Coturnix japonica: one gene and its partners. The protein of the gene in region 1 purifies or fractionates together with the protein of each later gene. This does not show direct contact. Links are inferred from orthologs where the notes say so. Each region holds a gene or a part of one and is shown in the gene's direction. Other genes may lie near its edges.

Region 1 (4,092 bases):
AAATACAGGTATTAATTTATGAAGCATCAAACTTTGAGTGGCCTAATTTAATACTGTAAATGTTTGCAGTGTCTTTGAGGTGAAGCTGTTAAACTTTGACATCTCAGAGCTTTTTAGTGCAAGGCTCTGATTCTCAGCTGTGTAGCTGAAAAGTTAACAGCACATCAGTGGTGTAAATCAAATGAGTACAGTTGCAACAAAATTAACGCATCCGGTGTGCAGGCACACATCCCATTTATGTCAGAGGGGGCTGCAGAACAGCAGCGCTGCCCCATCAGATGCAGCATCTTCCTAGTGTGAGGTGAGGGCACCATCTACGGGTGAGTCTGTTGTCCAACCCGTCGGGACCTCCCTCCATGTCTTTGCTTCTTTTTATAGCGTGTGTTAGGAATGTTACCAAGGAATCACTGTGCTACAATAGAAGGGCTATTGACGCTCTAACGTCAGGACATACTGCATCAGCAACATCCGTTTTCTCTAGATACGCTTTCCCTGTGTTTGAGTTGTTTCCTCTTCAAACCTTTGGCTCCATTATCAACAAAATGCCCCCTTACTGAGGATCAGCAGAACACAGTTGCTCTCATTGGACATTTGCAGGGCACAGGCGGTGTTTGTCCGAGCCTGGCAGGATCAGTCCTTTCTTTCTGGCTCCAGCTGGGACAGGCATTCTTGCTGATGCTAGAAATTAACTGATACTCAGGAAAAATGATTTTCCTTTCTCAGTTTAACTGGCAATGGTACTCCAAGGGTTTATATGTGAGGGCATAGCTTCCCTGACACAGTCAGAAAAGTAAGAAAAACAGAGGTACCCCTTGCCAGCTGTTGGCAGGACTATCTATGCTATGAAGGGCTGTGTGGTTAGCAGACATAGCAAGTGCACGCCGAAACCTCATGACTGCAAACAGAAAGTGAGGTGGCAGTTTCAGATCTACAAGTAGTTACATCCTAGAGCAGTCTCTAAAGGCTCCTCTGATGTTTAAAGGATTTCTTTTGTATTTACTGTTAAAGATGCAGGGCTCCCAAGCCTTTACCAGAGCGGAGATGAAGCAGCATGCACAGGTAGAGGCTGACCTGGTGTCTAGACTCACTGTGGGCAGCCAGGGAGAGGTTGTTTTGAGTTTTGGGCAGCTGTTTTGGGTTTAACATTGCCCCCACAGCGCACACAGCGCACACAGCCCACAGGCCCGGCCCTTCCCTGCCCACACACACCCCGGCTCTTCCGGTTCATCCCTATGGAGGACGAGAGGCGGGGCAAACCTGTTAGAGCGGCGCATGCGCTGCCCGCCACCTCCTCTACGGCGGCGGCGGCGACAAGATGGCGGAGCCGGAGTGAGTGCGGAGCTGCCGGGAGCGCGGATCTGCCGCCATCGGCCGGGAGCGGGCGGCTGCGGGAACGGGGAGCGGGTCGGGGCAGCGGCGGGGGGTGTGACAGGCGCTGAGCGTGACCGGTTTCTGCCGCCCGCAGGCAGAAGCGGCGGATCCCGTTGGTGCCGGAGAACTTGCTGAAGAGGAGGAAGGCCTACCAGGCCATCAAGGCCACCCAGGCCAAGTTAGCACTGCAGAACAAGCGCAAGGTGCGGACCGCGGGGCTGGGACGGGGCGGAGCGCTGTCCTCGCTTACCTTTTAATTTAAGAACAATTTAATAGCTGGGGACCTGCTCTGTTCTGACAGCCAGCAGCAGGGGCCTACCTCAGAAGTGGCATAGGGCTTGCTGAGGGAATCTGCTCCTGTGGTGTTCGTGGGGCCGCATTAAAACCTCTTCTGTTCTTTGTTGGATACCACGAGTGTGTTTGTAAGCATGTGGAGCAATGTTCCCCAGGGAGAAGGGGAAGCCTCAGTAATAATGTGCAGTAGCCACTTGTTAAGATTCTCCTTAGTAAAAATGACCATAATGATGGGAGTCAAGTCTCTGCCTGCTTGGAAAATGCAGCCTGATTTCACAGATGGTTTCCAACATGGAAGAGAACCGAAGATGTACAGTGTGTTCTTTAGTTTGGAAGTGGCTTAGTGTTTAGCTAGTAATGTATCTGAAGTGCAGCTGGGTGGCTGCTGTGCACCTTCTCACATGAGAAAGCACTGTGATGTCGGTGGGTGTACTTGATCCTGAACTGAGAACAAACATATAAACTTTTAAATTGGAAAAAAAAAAAACAAGTTATTTTCTTTTTGGTGGTTATTTTGAGTGATGGTGGATTATTGGTGGCTGTTTTGTAATACATGTTGCTTCTGGCTTTCTTTGAGCTGACCAAGCCATGTGTAAGTGGCTGTGTTTGTTTGATTTCTCCTATGCCTGCAATCACATTGAGTCTTGCTCTGTGTCTTTCCTAACTTATTTCCTTCCATGTAAAACCTCCCTGTTCTCTGGAAGTCACAGCCCATTGCTTATAGTCTACAACTTTGTATGTTGTCCCTGAGTTTTGCATCTTGGAGGCTTGGATTTTCAAATGTATTTTACTACTGTCTCCAAAAATAAAAGAGCGTGGTGCATGAAGTTCAGAATTTCATCTGACCTTTGAGTTACCCGCTTCTAGGATTGTTGAGGAGGGTGATCGTTCCTTCTCCTTTTGTCTTTAGATCCAGAAGGGAAAACAAATCCAGTTTAAACGCCTTGAGGCTTTTGTTCGAGATTCATGGCGCCAATGCCGAGATGACGTCAGGCTGAGGCGCATGGAGCAGCGACCTCGGCAGGTGGCTGTACCTAAGGAGCACAAACTGGCCTTTGTTGTGCGGATTGCAGAGTAAGAAACCTTGTTACTTCTGTTATTGCTATTATCTGTAAATGTCACATCCCTTCTAAGCAAAGGAAGTGCAATCTAGCTACTTGTGTCTCTGCAGGTAAGCTGAGGCCATTTGGTACTGTGTTAAAGAAATGTGGTTATTAATGGAATGTTTTTATGTTTAAGGATTAAAGGAGTGAGTCTGAGGGTAAAAAAAGTGATCAACTCGCTGCGACTGAAAAGAATTTACAGTGGGACATTTGTTAAACTGTCTCCATTATCGCTGAAGATGCTGCAGATCGTAGAACCTTATGTGGCCTGGGGGTAAGTACTGCGTGAGTCACATGGTTTTGTAGCAGTTTCTTTGTAATCATAGAATTACCCAGGTTGGGAAAGACCTTGAAGATCATCAGGTCCAGCCACAGCCTAACCAGAACCCTAACTCTAAAAACCCTCCACTAAATCATATCCCTGAGCACCACATCCAAACGGCTCATAAATACAACCAGGGATGGCGATTCAACCACCTCCCTGAGGAGCCTATTCCAATACTTAACTACCCTTTCTGTAAAGAAGTTCTTCCTAATATCCAACCTAAACTTGCCCTGGCGCAGCTTGAGGCCATGTAAATTTGTAAATATCATGGCTTTCTGATTTGTAGCTGCCTTCTCCAGTAAGTGGTCAAAAATTCACTGACTTCACATCTAAAACTTGTTGATATTTATCACTCTAAAGCTACTATGGCTACTTCCCAACTTCAGTGTGAAGCAATAGAGTGGGACTCTCCACTTTTTAGTCTGATTTCTTGTTTTTGTGCAGGTATCCTAATCTGAAATCTGTACGAGAGCTCATTCTGAAACGGGGCCAAGGAAAGGTTAACAAGAAGAGGGTACCTCTGACGGACAATATGTTGATAGAGGAACATTTAGGTAAGATGTAAGATAAGAAAACAAAGTGAAGCTGTGGTTAAGGGAGATGTTGAGAGTTTGCAGTCTGACCTTAGAGAAAAGGGAGGGAGGAAAAATTGTGCAAGACTTTTATATAGAGATCTGGGGATTCTTGGTTGTGTGAAGGAATAGCTGCACATCTCTATGGGTGGTGTGTGTCTGCTGCGTGTTGCATGTCTTGTTCATTGTACTTTGCGGTTATTTTTTCCTGCAGGGAACTGTGGTATTATTTGCCTGGAAGACCTTATTCATGAAATCTACTCAGCTGGGAAGTACTTCAGAAATGTCTCAGACTTCCTATGGCCGTTCCAGCTGTCAGTGGCCCGCTATGCTGCACGTAATAAAGTGGGGTTTCTCAAGGAGATGGGTAAGCCTGGCTGCAGAGGTGAAGGAATCAACCAGCTTATACGGCAGCTGAACTAGACAG
Region 2 (4,378 bases), on another chromosome or scaffold:
TGTGCTTCTCTCCCTCGTCAATGAGAACAGTTCATTTGGCAAAGGCTGAGATAGATTTGCTCCCTCAGACGTTAAATATTACTGAGAATTACCATAACCCGAACAGAGGTGCTGGGAACAGCAGTAGGTGAACTCACAAAGTGACAGCATCCTTGCTTTAAGAATGTGACAGTTCAAAATGTACCTTTATGCTGAACTATCCAGAACAATCCAGACCTAGAACGTTCCACCTGTGCATTTCAAAACGTTAACAAGTGCACTTAAAGCTGTTCTCAGTCTATGCCTTCCCATTCAGATGACTTAGATCTGTTAACCTTGTCGAAAAATACTGGTACAGAAAATAAGGACCACGGATGGAAAAGATTTATCACAGCTCCTTAAGCAGATTTTAAACACTGGCCCAGTTCTTCAATTGCTTACACACTGAGACATGGATTACCTCACCGAGCAACGCAACTCAGAAATGCTAAATACTTGTCAGAGCAGGGTTAGTTAATAAGTGTTCTTAGCGTTATCAAATGTACGGGATTAGGAATAAACTGACAAATGTGTTCCAAAATCAAGAAGGAAAGAGCTCTGCATACCATCAGACGCTGAGCTGGTTCCAAAATAAGAGAAAACATCGTCTGCATCCAAAGCTCTGAGAAACCTCTGCAAGAAGAAGGATAGCTTTACGTTTTTTAGGGAAAACAAATGGACACAAAGTTATTATTTAACCGAAACGAACCTGGAAGGGACGTCAGCAAACAATTTAACAAGTATGGATGCCAAGGTCTAATGGTTTTATTTTGCACTAAGCGTACGCTGCACAACGGCCACCCGGAGGAAATAGCTTTATCTTCTTGATTAGTGAAGTCTGATACATCTTGGCTTAGAACACGGTGTGTTTTCTCTTCTTTTTTTCCTAGAAATAAAACAAGGCTTCCTGGAAACGGAGCTTTCTGGAGGTCAGGCTTACCTCTTGGAGGATGGAGGGCCAGCAAAACCCCAGAGGGAACATTATGAGTACTCGGATGGTCAGACTGATGATCATGCTGGAGGGACTGCAAGCAGTGCTGCAGAGCAATCTCTGGCCCAGGGGTGATTAAAATGCTTGGTCTGAGGCATCACGTGGAACGGAAGCAAAGCATGCAGAGTTTAAATAAACAGGAGAGATGATCGACTGCAGAGGGGGACAGTCGAGGGGGAATTGAACTGCTGTGGGAGGATTTACAGGAACAGCTGGAGAGGGAGAGCTTTTTGCACAACATTTGCAACTTCATTACAGCCAAGGAGCGCAGCGAAGAGAAGCAGCTTCGGGCCAACTACAGCAGCCAAATAAACAAGGAGTAATTTGTGCGGGGTAAGGGCTCTGATTTGTTGAACTCCGCGTTCCTGCTCGCCAAACCTCAGCACAGACTGAGCACTGTGATTCAGGGCGATGTCCCGCAGGACGCACACCCCGCTCCATGCACCGCTGGCTTCTCCCCTCTGTTGACCACCAGGGGGTGCCCGCACAGCCCCGGCCCCGCAGCGGAACGCAAAGCTCGATCCGCCGTTCCCCGCCGGGTGCTGCACCGTTTCCCCGCCGTGGTTCCGCATGGCGAAAGCGGATCCCGAGGGGGCGGCCGGTGGGAAGGGTCGGAGGAGGAAAGGCCGGCGGGGCAGCGGGCAGCAGGCGGGGATGGCCGCGCAGAATGGCCCGAAGGCGGCCACGGTGGCGGCCATACCCCGCAGCCCGCAGGAGTTCTCCTCCAACTGGAAGGCGCTGCAGGAGGTGAGGGCGAGCAGGGCTGGATGCCGGGCTCTGCATTAACTCGGTTCCGATCTGGGTGTAATCATTTAGAAGGACTTTTTATGTGTAATAATAACCCGCGGGGGATGGGGCGTTGCAGCCAGCCAGAGCCCTGCTCTGCTTCAGTGATATCGGGGGAGAATTGATGATGATCAAGGAGATAATCCCTCTCTCTCTCCTTTTCCCCCCCTCTTTTCTTTGGCTCTTTTAGCTACTGAAGCAGAAGGCAAGTGCCTCGAATGAGACTCTCCCTTCATCTCAAACATCCACCAAGAAGCAGCATCCACTCAAAGAGGGAAACAGCCAACAGGTCCCAGCTGGCACTGGGGATCAAAACGTGTTGAAACCCAAATCCACAAATAAAAAGGACGGGGGTCTGAATGCACACAGCCCTCCTGTGGGCAAGGTGAAACACAAGAAGGCTGCAACTGACAAGAATTCAAAGCCTAAACACACAGATCAGAGGGCCAAGAGTTCTGCTGATGGTGGCGCTCCTATGGCTGAGCCCAAAGGCAGGAGAGATGAGAAGGACAAGAGTGTGAACGGCATCAAAAGCAATGGGAAGGGCTGCAAAGAGAAAAGGAAAAACGGCAGCATTGAAAAGGAGAAGAGCGACGTGAAACATAAGAAGAGGAAAGCTGACGATAAAGCACAGCAGCCCAAAGAGTGAGTACTTCAAGCATCAGCACATGGTAATGTATTCTAGGAGGTGTACAATGAAATACGTTCCAAATAGCTGTGCTCTTCCAGGCTAGAATGTGGGCAACAGAAGATGAATGCTGCCCCTCCTCACAATAAATCTGCATAGATAACAGCATAGACTACTTTTGAGATAGCTGCTTTCTTGATTTTAAAAGATAAATGTGCTTTTTGTGCATGGTGGAGATGCACTGTCACTTTAAGACTATTTAACACAGTTAAATTTATACTTACCAGGCCCGACATCTGGTTTGATGATGTTGATCCAAATGATATTGAAGCAGCAATAGGACCTGAAGCAGCAGAAGTTGCTAGAAGGAAAATGGGACTTGAAACAGGCCAACCCAAACGGACTGTGGAGCAGGTGCTGGTTAAAGAGAAGTCTTCTGGAGGGTGAGTGGTGTTCCAAGCAGGAGACACAGCAGCAGAGGCATCACAATTAGCTTGTAATGGCTGTAGACAAAGTTTAAGCTGACATCTGAGTCTGCTGCTCGCAGCTCTGCTGTGTGGTCCCTGTAAAGAGATGCGTCACTGAGTTGTCTTTTTCTTTTTCAGCCTTACAAGAGCTGTAGCTATGGACTGTGAGATGGTGGGAGTGGGACCCAACGGCGAAGACAGCATTGTGGCTCGTGTGTCCATTGTGAACCGGTTTGGAAAGTGCATTTATGACAAGTATGTCAAGCCTACAGAAGAGGTGACGGATTACAGGACAGCTGTTAGCGGCATACGACCTGAGCATCTAAAGACAGGTAGGCTCTTGTAACAAGCTGAGGGTTGATTGTACAGCACAAACTTGTGTAACCACAGTCCCATAAGGTATAACGCTGTCTTCACAACAAAGATGCCATATTCTGGTTGTAGGTTGCTTAGATGTTTTGTGTGTCTAATGCCAAGTGTTCCATCTCATCTTTAGGTGAAGACTTTAAAACAGTTCAGAAGGAGGTCGCTGATATCTTGAATGGAAGGATATTAGTTGGGCATGCATTACACAATGACCTAAAGGTAACACAGCTGCAGATTTGTTGCTATGAAGACAAAGCTCCAAACACTGAAAATCAGTGAATTTATTATTCATCTTCCTGGATCAGTCAAATAACACACCTAAACTCATAGGAACTGCTGCTTTTTAGCTGTTAGCTCAGTTTCTTGTCCTCTCACATTGTACCAAGTGTAGCCCTGTTTGCTGGCACACCAAGTTCTTCAGCTTGCACACTGATCTTAATAGCACTGATTTAGATGCTGAAGAGCAGGAAGCTGTGTATTCAGCTGTATCAGTTTTTGTGTAGCATCACTCTTTACGCTGGAAATGTGATTTCTTTCAGGTCTTATTCCTTGATCATCCTAAGAAGAAAATGCGCGACACGCAAAAATACAAACCTTTCAGACAGAGAGTCATGGTAAGAAAGTGATGGAAAGGAGTACCTTGATTAACTGACACCAGAGCTGCCGACTCCCAGCTTTTAGCCCACTCACTCCTGTGCTTGCCTCACTTGTCCCCATTTCTTCTTTCCAACCTGAAACAGAGATATCAACTTTTTGTTGGTTGAAAATACCAGTCTAACTGAATGCTTGGTTACTGTTTGAAGTATAGCAGTGTTACTTTGTTAGCTGTAAGTATTACCTGTAATACCTCTGCACAAGGTTCAGCAGTCCTCCCACTCCTTAGCATGTACATGGTCTTCATAACGCTCTTCTGGAATAGCAAAATAAGATTTTACATTTATAGTAAGGACACTGGATACTCTTAATAGTGTCATTTGCACATGGATATTAAAAAAATAGATGGTTTCAAGTTTCTACTTGGACTCCAGAAGAAACAGCATAGGACATTATTTTACTTTTCATAACTACATACTCTGTTTTTCACAGTAAAACACCTCAAACCTAAACCTCAGGGTTATGGGA
Region 3 (3,903 bases), on another chromosome or scaffold:
TACTGCAGGGAACATTGCTCCTGGGGACTTGTGTGGGTGGTGGAAGGGCTGAGGGGGAGGATGTTTGTGCAAAGCATGTCTGGGAGCTGTCCCCCCACCTTTCTGTTTGTCTCTAGATCGATGGCCAGGCTGAGGTTGAGCTGAAGCCTGTGGAAGGCAAGGAGTATGCCATGGATTCAGAGAGCTACCTGGAGGTGAGGGGCTCTGCTGCCACTATGGTCAGCGTGAGGACTTTGCATGCAAGGATGCTGTGTGTCCTCAGTGCCCTGGCTGGGGACCCCTCCTGGTCTGGGGCCGTGGTGCAGGGGCTGAGGAGCAGAGCCTGACCCATGCATGATGGAGATCCCAGCTTCTCATCCCTTTGCTGTCGCTGGAGGAGGAGCTGTGCTTGGTCTTGGGGCTCCCTCTGTGAGCCTGCTCCTTTCCCATTCCTAAAGCTCTGGCTGAACCTTACATCTTGGTCTCCTCTGGTTGCAGAAACTGTCGGCTCTGAGCTCCAGCCTGGCACGTGTGGTGGCACCAGCCCAAGAGGATGATGTGGAGATGGATGAGTTCCCTGTGGAGGGGGTAAGAGCCTGGTGGCCAGGCCTGAGCCACACCATGTGCTGTCTTGTCCTCATCACGTCTTATGGCTGAGAGAAGGCTGTCTGTGCCCAGTGTGGGACTGGGGGGGACTGGCAGGAGGATGGGGACAGTGACTGAGAGCAGAGAGGGGCTTGGCTGTGCTGCATGTAGGGAAGAGACTTGACTGTTTTGCCCCTGAGCAGGAGACTGCTGAGCAGATGGATGCAAGGAGGAAGGAGCAGGAGGCCCTGGAGAAGCACAAAAAGCTGTTTGAAGGGCTACGCTTCTTCCTCAACAGGGAGGTGCCTCGAGAGCCCCTGGCCTTCATCATCCGGTATGTGGTGGGAGGGGTTCCTGCAGCTCTGCCACCTTGTGCTGTCCTTCCCTGTCCTCTCCAGTTGCACTGCTGAGGCCACCATGACCCTGAGAGTGTCAGCTGTGTGACCGACCGCTTGATGTGTTTGACTGGCAGGTGCTTTGGTGGCCAAGTGTCCTGGGACAAGTCCCTGTGCATTGGTGCCACCTATGATGTGAGTGACCCATCCATCACCCACCAGATAGTTGACCGGCCCCGGATTGAGCAGCAGGTTGTGGGCAGGTGAGCCAGGTGTCCTGTCCTCAGAATGGCCATCTTGGGCTGATGGCTGTTTCTGAACTCCCCCTTGCTCCGCTTGCTCCCAACCTTCCCCACTGCAATCTTGCAGCCCCTTGGACACTAGAGCATGGGGCAGGAAGGCAGTGTCTGACCTCCAGCCCCATATCCCTCTGCCCATAGGTATTATCTGCAGCCTCAGTGGGTTTTTGACTCAGTCAATGCCAAGCTGTGTCTCCCTGTAGCCGATTATTTCCCCGGTGTGCTGCTGCCCCCACACCTCTCGCCCTTCGTGACAGAGCAGGAAGGAGACTATATCCCTCCAGAGAAGCTGAAGCTGCTGGCCATGCAGCGAGGCGAGGACCCAGGTGATGTGAAGCTCCCAGAGCTGGAGAGGATCCAGGCAGTGCTGCAGCTTCAGCAGAGCTCTGTCTGCTGCAGGGCCACTGTGTTCCATGGTCAGTAACAGTGATCTCTTTATAGGGGAAGAAAGTGAGGAGGAGGAGGAAGAAGAGGAGGGAGAGGAAGAGGAGGATGACAATGATAAAGATGAGGAAGAGGAGGAGGAAGATGAGTCCGAAAAGGAAGAGGAGATTAAATTGAAGAAGATGGAAGAGCAGAAGACTCAGAGCAACAACAAGGTGCAGTGCATGGCAATGGGATGCCACTGTCCCTCTGCCACCCATTCGGGGCAACCAGAGAGGATGCTGTGTCTCTTGTGTTTCCACTGAGTAGTGTGGAAGTGCCCCTGGGGAAGGCCCGGCTCCTGGCACACAGAGCCCTGAGCTCTCTGCTCTCTGCAGGCTCTTCCCGTGAAGGTGACTGCTGGCAAAGTGAAGCTGGAGGACAAGCAGCGCCTGGAACAGGAGCAGCAAAGCGAGGAGAAGCGCCTGGCCATCATGATGATGAAGAAAAGGGAGAAATACCTCTACAAGAAGATCATGTTTGGAAAGAAACGCAAAATCCGAGAGGTACGAGTGTAGGGATGCTCCAAACCATGGATCCCTGTGCTAGGTCTTCCCAAAGCAGTTTGCAGCTAAAGATCACATATCATGGTCTGTCCTCATCTTGTGAGGATGGAGTGACCTCTGAGGCCTGTGCCTCCCTAGCTCTGGTTGTAGGAGGGAGCTTTGCCCATAGCCTTGCAGCTCCTGTCTTCCTGCCCTGCTGTGGGGCTGGTCAGAGCTGAATCCCCTCCATGCACATCATAGACTGCTCCCATGCTGCATGTTTTGGGTTTTCATTTCCTCTCTGTACATGGTGAGGCAGTGAGGATGCTGACCTCAGGTACACAAGGCTGAGACTGTACAGGCCTCTTCCCCAGCATTACCAGGCTGCAGGCATTCAAACTCCTTGAGCAGAACTCCCTGTGCCTGCCTGGGGCCTTAGTGTGTGGCCAGCAAGTGAAGCTCAGGGCATCTCTGCTTGTCTCCATCCCCCGCTGTCAGAACAGTTCAGTGGGTCTGAGGCTGGAGCAGGTCTTGGTGTGTGGGGACAGGGCTGACCGTGGCTCTCGGGTTGTGTTTCTGTGCAGGCAAACAAACTGGCAGCCAAGAGGAAAGCCCACGACACTGCCATGAAAGAGGAGAAAAAGAAAAGCAAGAAGGCACGACGAGCCTGATGAGACTTTGGGACACTGAGGAGGGGATAACCCTCCTGCCTGGCTGCAATGGCTGCAGAGACCATCATGTGTGGGTGAAAAACCCTCAGCTTTCCTCATGGGACAGAAATACTACATTAAACTATTGCCCATCAGTAACTACACCTCCTGCTGTGCCTTACCCAGGACTCCATCCATGCAGGAAATGGAGGAGTGATTGTAGATGCAGTTGCCTGTCCTGAGGGTCAGCTATGTGAGCAATGTCCTCTTTGTGCTCTTTCAGCAACCTCAGGGCAGGAAGAACAGGAGGCCAAGGGGAGCTGTGAGCTCTTGCAGCTGCCTCCCTCTGGCTCTGTTCACCTTGCACACCCACAGCCCTGAGATGTGCAGACTGTCCCACCTGCCCTGGGGGCTGCTGGCCTTGCTGGGTTGTGTTCAGAGGGGTGGTGTGTCCAGCACAAGGAGGAGCCGGATTTGTGCTCAGCATGGAAGAGGAGCCCACCCGCCTCCCAGAGAACGGAGCTGCTCTCCACCACCACACTTCTATTGTATTGCAACTTCGTTATGTTTTTAATTAAACTTGATGCTTCCCCCATGCTGTGTGTTGTCTGTACCCTTGTGGCAGTGCTGTGTGCCCAAACCTCGGGCCTGACCAAGAGCTGTGGCTTAACCCATGAATCACTCAGGGCTGGAGGTGACTCCTCAGCCCCCAAGCTCCGTAGCACTGTGTTCTCACACCTTCTCACTGTGCTCCATGCCCTGCTCCAGCTCTGTGCAGGCCCTGATTTATCCCTGCTGGCTGCTGATGCCTCCCAGGGCCTGGTGTGGGTTCCTGCATTGGGGAGGCACAGCCCAGGGGCACCCAGAGAGCATGGAGCTGCTTCCACCATCCCTTGGGAGCAGCATGGAGGGCTGCCCAGCAGTGTGCAGTGTGAGCAGAGCCTGCAGGACATCCTGAGCCTCACAGAGCAGCACTGGGTTTTATCAGATCCAGTTAGGAGCTTGGAACCACCATTGTGGTGTAAGTTCATTTTTGAGCTCCTCTGCTGCTTTCTGCTCCTCCCTGTTCAGTTTTTCCTCCCTTTTCCCCCTCCTTTCCTCCTTTTTCCCCTCGTTTCCTTCCTTTTTTCCCCTCTCCTTCTCATTC

What was found.
Region 2: the proteins of RPL7L1 (region 1) and REXO4 purify together in Homo sapiens (affinity purification with mass spectrometry; 3 studies listed by BioGRID and IntAct, with this or other methods). This does not show direct contact. The link is inferred for Coturnix japonica from reciprocal best matches to the Homo sapiens genes RPL7L1 and REXO4.
Region 3: the proteins of RPL7L1 (region 1) and PES1 purify together in Homo sapiens (affinity purification with mass spectrometry; 4 studies listed by BioGRID and IntAct, counting the BioPlex papers as one, with this or other methods). This does not show direct contact. The link is inferred for Coturnix japonica from reciprocal best matches to the Homo sapiens genes RPL7L1 and PES1.

What each region holds. Positions count from the first base shown.
Region 1 is NC_029519.1:48,832,441-48,836,532, reverse strand, and holds the start of RPL7L1 (60S ribosomal protein L7-like 1), read left to right. Parts: upstream 1-1,228; 5' UTR 1,229-1,315; coding exon 1,316-1,329; intron 1,330-1,465; coding exon 1,466-1,574; intron 1,575-2,575; coding exon 2,576-2,739; intron 2,740-2,904; coding exon 2,905-3,042; intron 3,043-3,537; coding exon 3,538-3,647; intron 3,648-3,879; coding exon 3,880-4,088; 3' UTR 4,089-4,092.
Region 2 is NC_029532.1:5,445,105-5,449,482, reverse strand, and holds the start of REXO4 (RNA exonuclease 4), read left to right. Parts: upstream 1-1,539; 5' UTR 1,540-1,579; coding exon 1,580-1,756; intron 1,757-1,985; coding exon 1,986-2,440; intron 2,441-2,710; coding exon 2,711-2,866; intron 2,867-3,028; coding exon 3,029-3,222; intron 3,223-3,386; coding exon 3,387-3,475; intron 3,476-3,795; coding exon 3,796-3,870; intron 3,871-4,378. Other genes in the region: ADAMTS13 (A disintegrin and metalloproteinase with thrombospondin motifs 13), read right to left, coding at 585-651, 959-1,033.
Region 3 is NC_029530.1:9,612,681-9,616,583, forward strand, and holds the end of PES1 (pescadillo homolog), read left to right. Parts: intron 1-116; coding exon 117-194; intron 195-477; coding exon 478-567; intron 568-767; coding exon 768-898; intron 899-1,036; coding exon 1,037-1,162; intron 1,163-1,339; coding exon 1,340-1,524; intron 1,525-1,639; coding exon 1,640-1,797; intron 1,798-1,959; coding exon 1,960-2,127; intron 2,128-2,690; coding exon 2,691-2,777; 3' UTR 2,778-3,351; downstream 3,352-3,903. UniProt on the Homo sapiens protein: Component of the PeBoW complex, which is required for maturation of 28S and 5.8S ribosomal RNAs and formation of the 60S ribosome.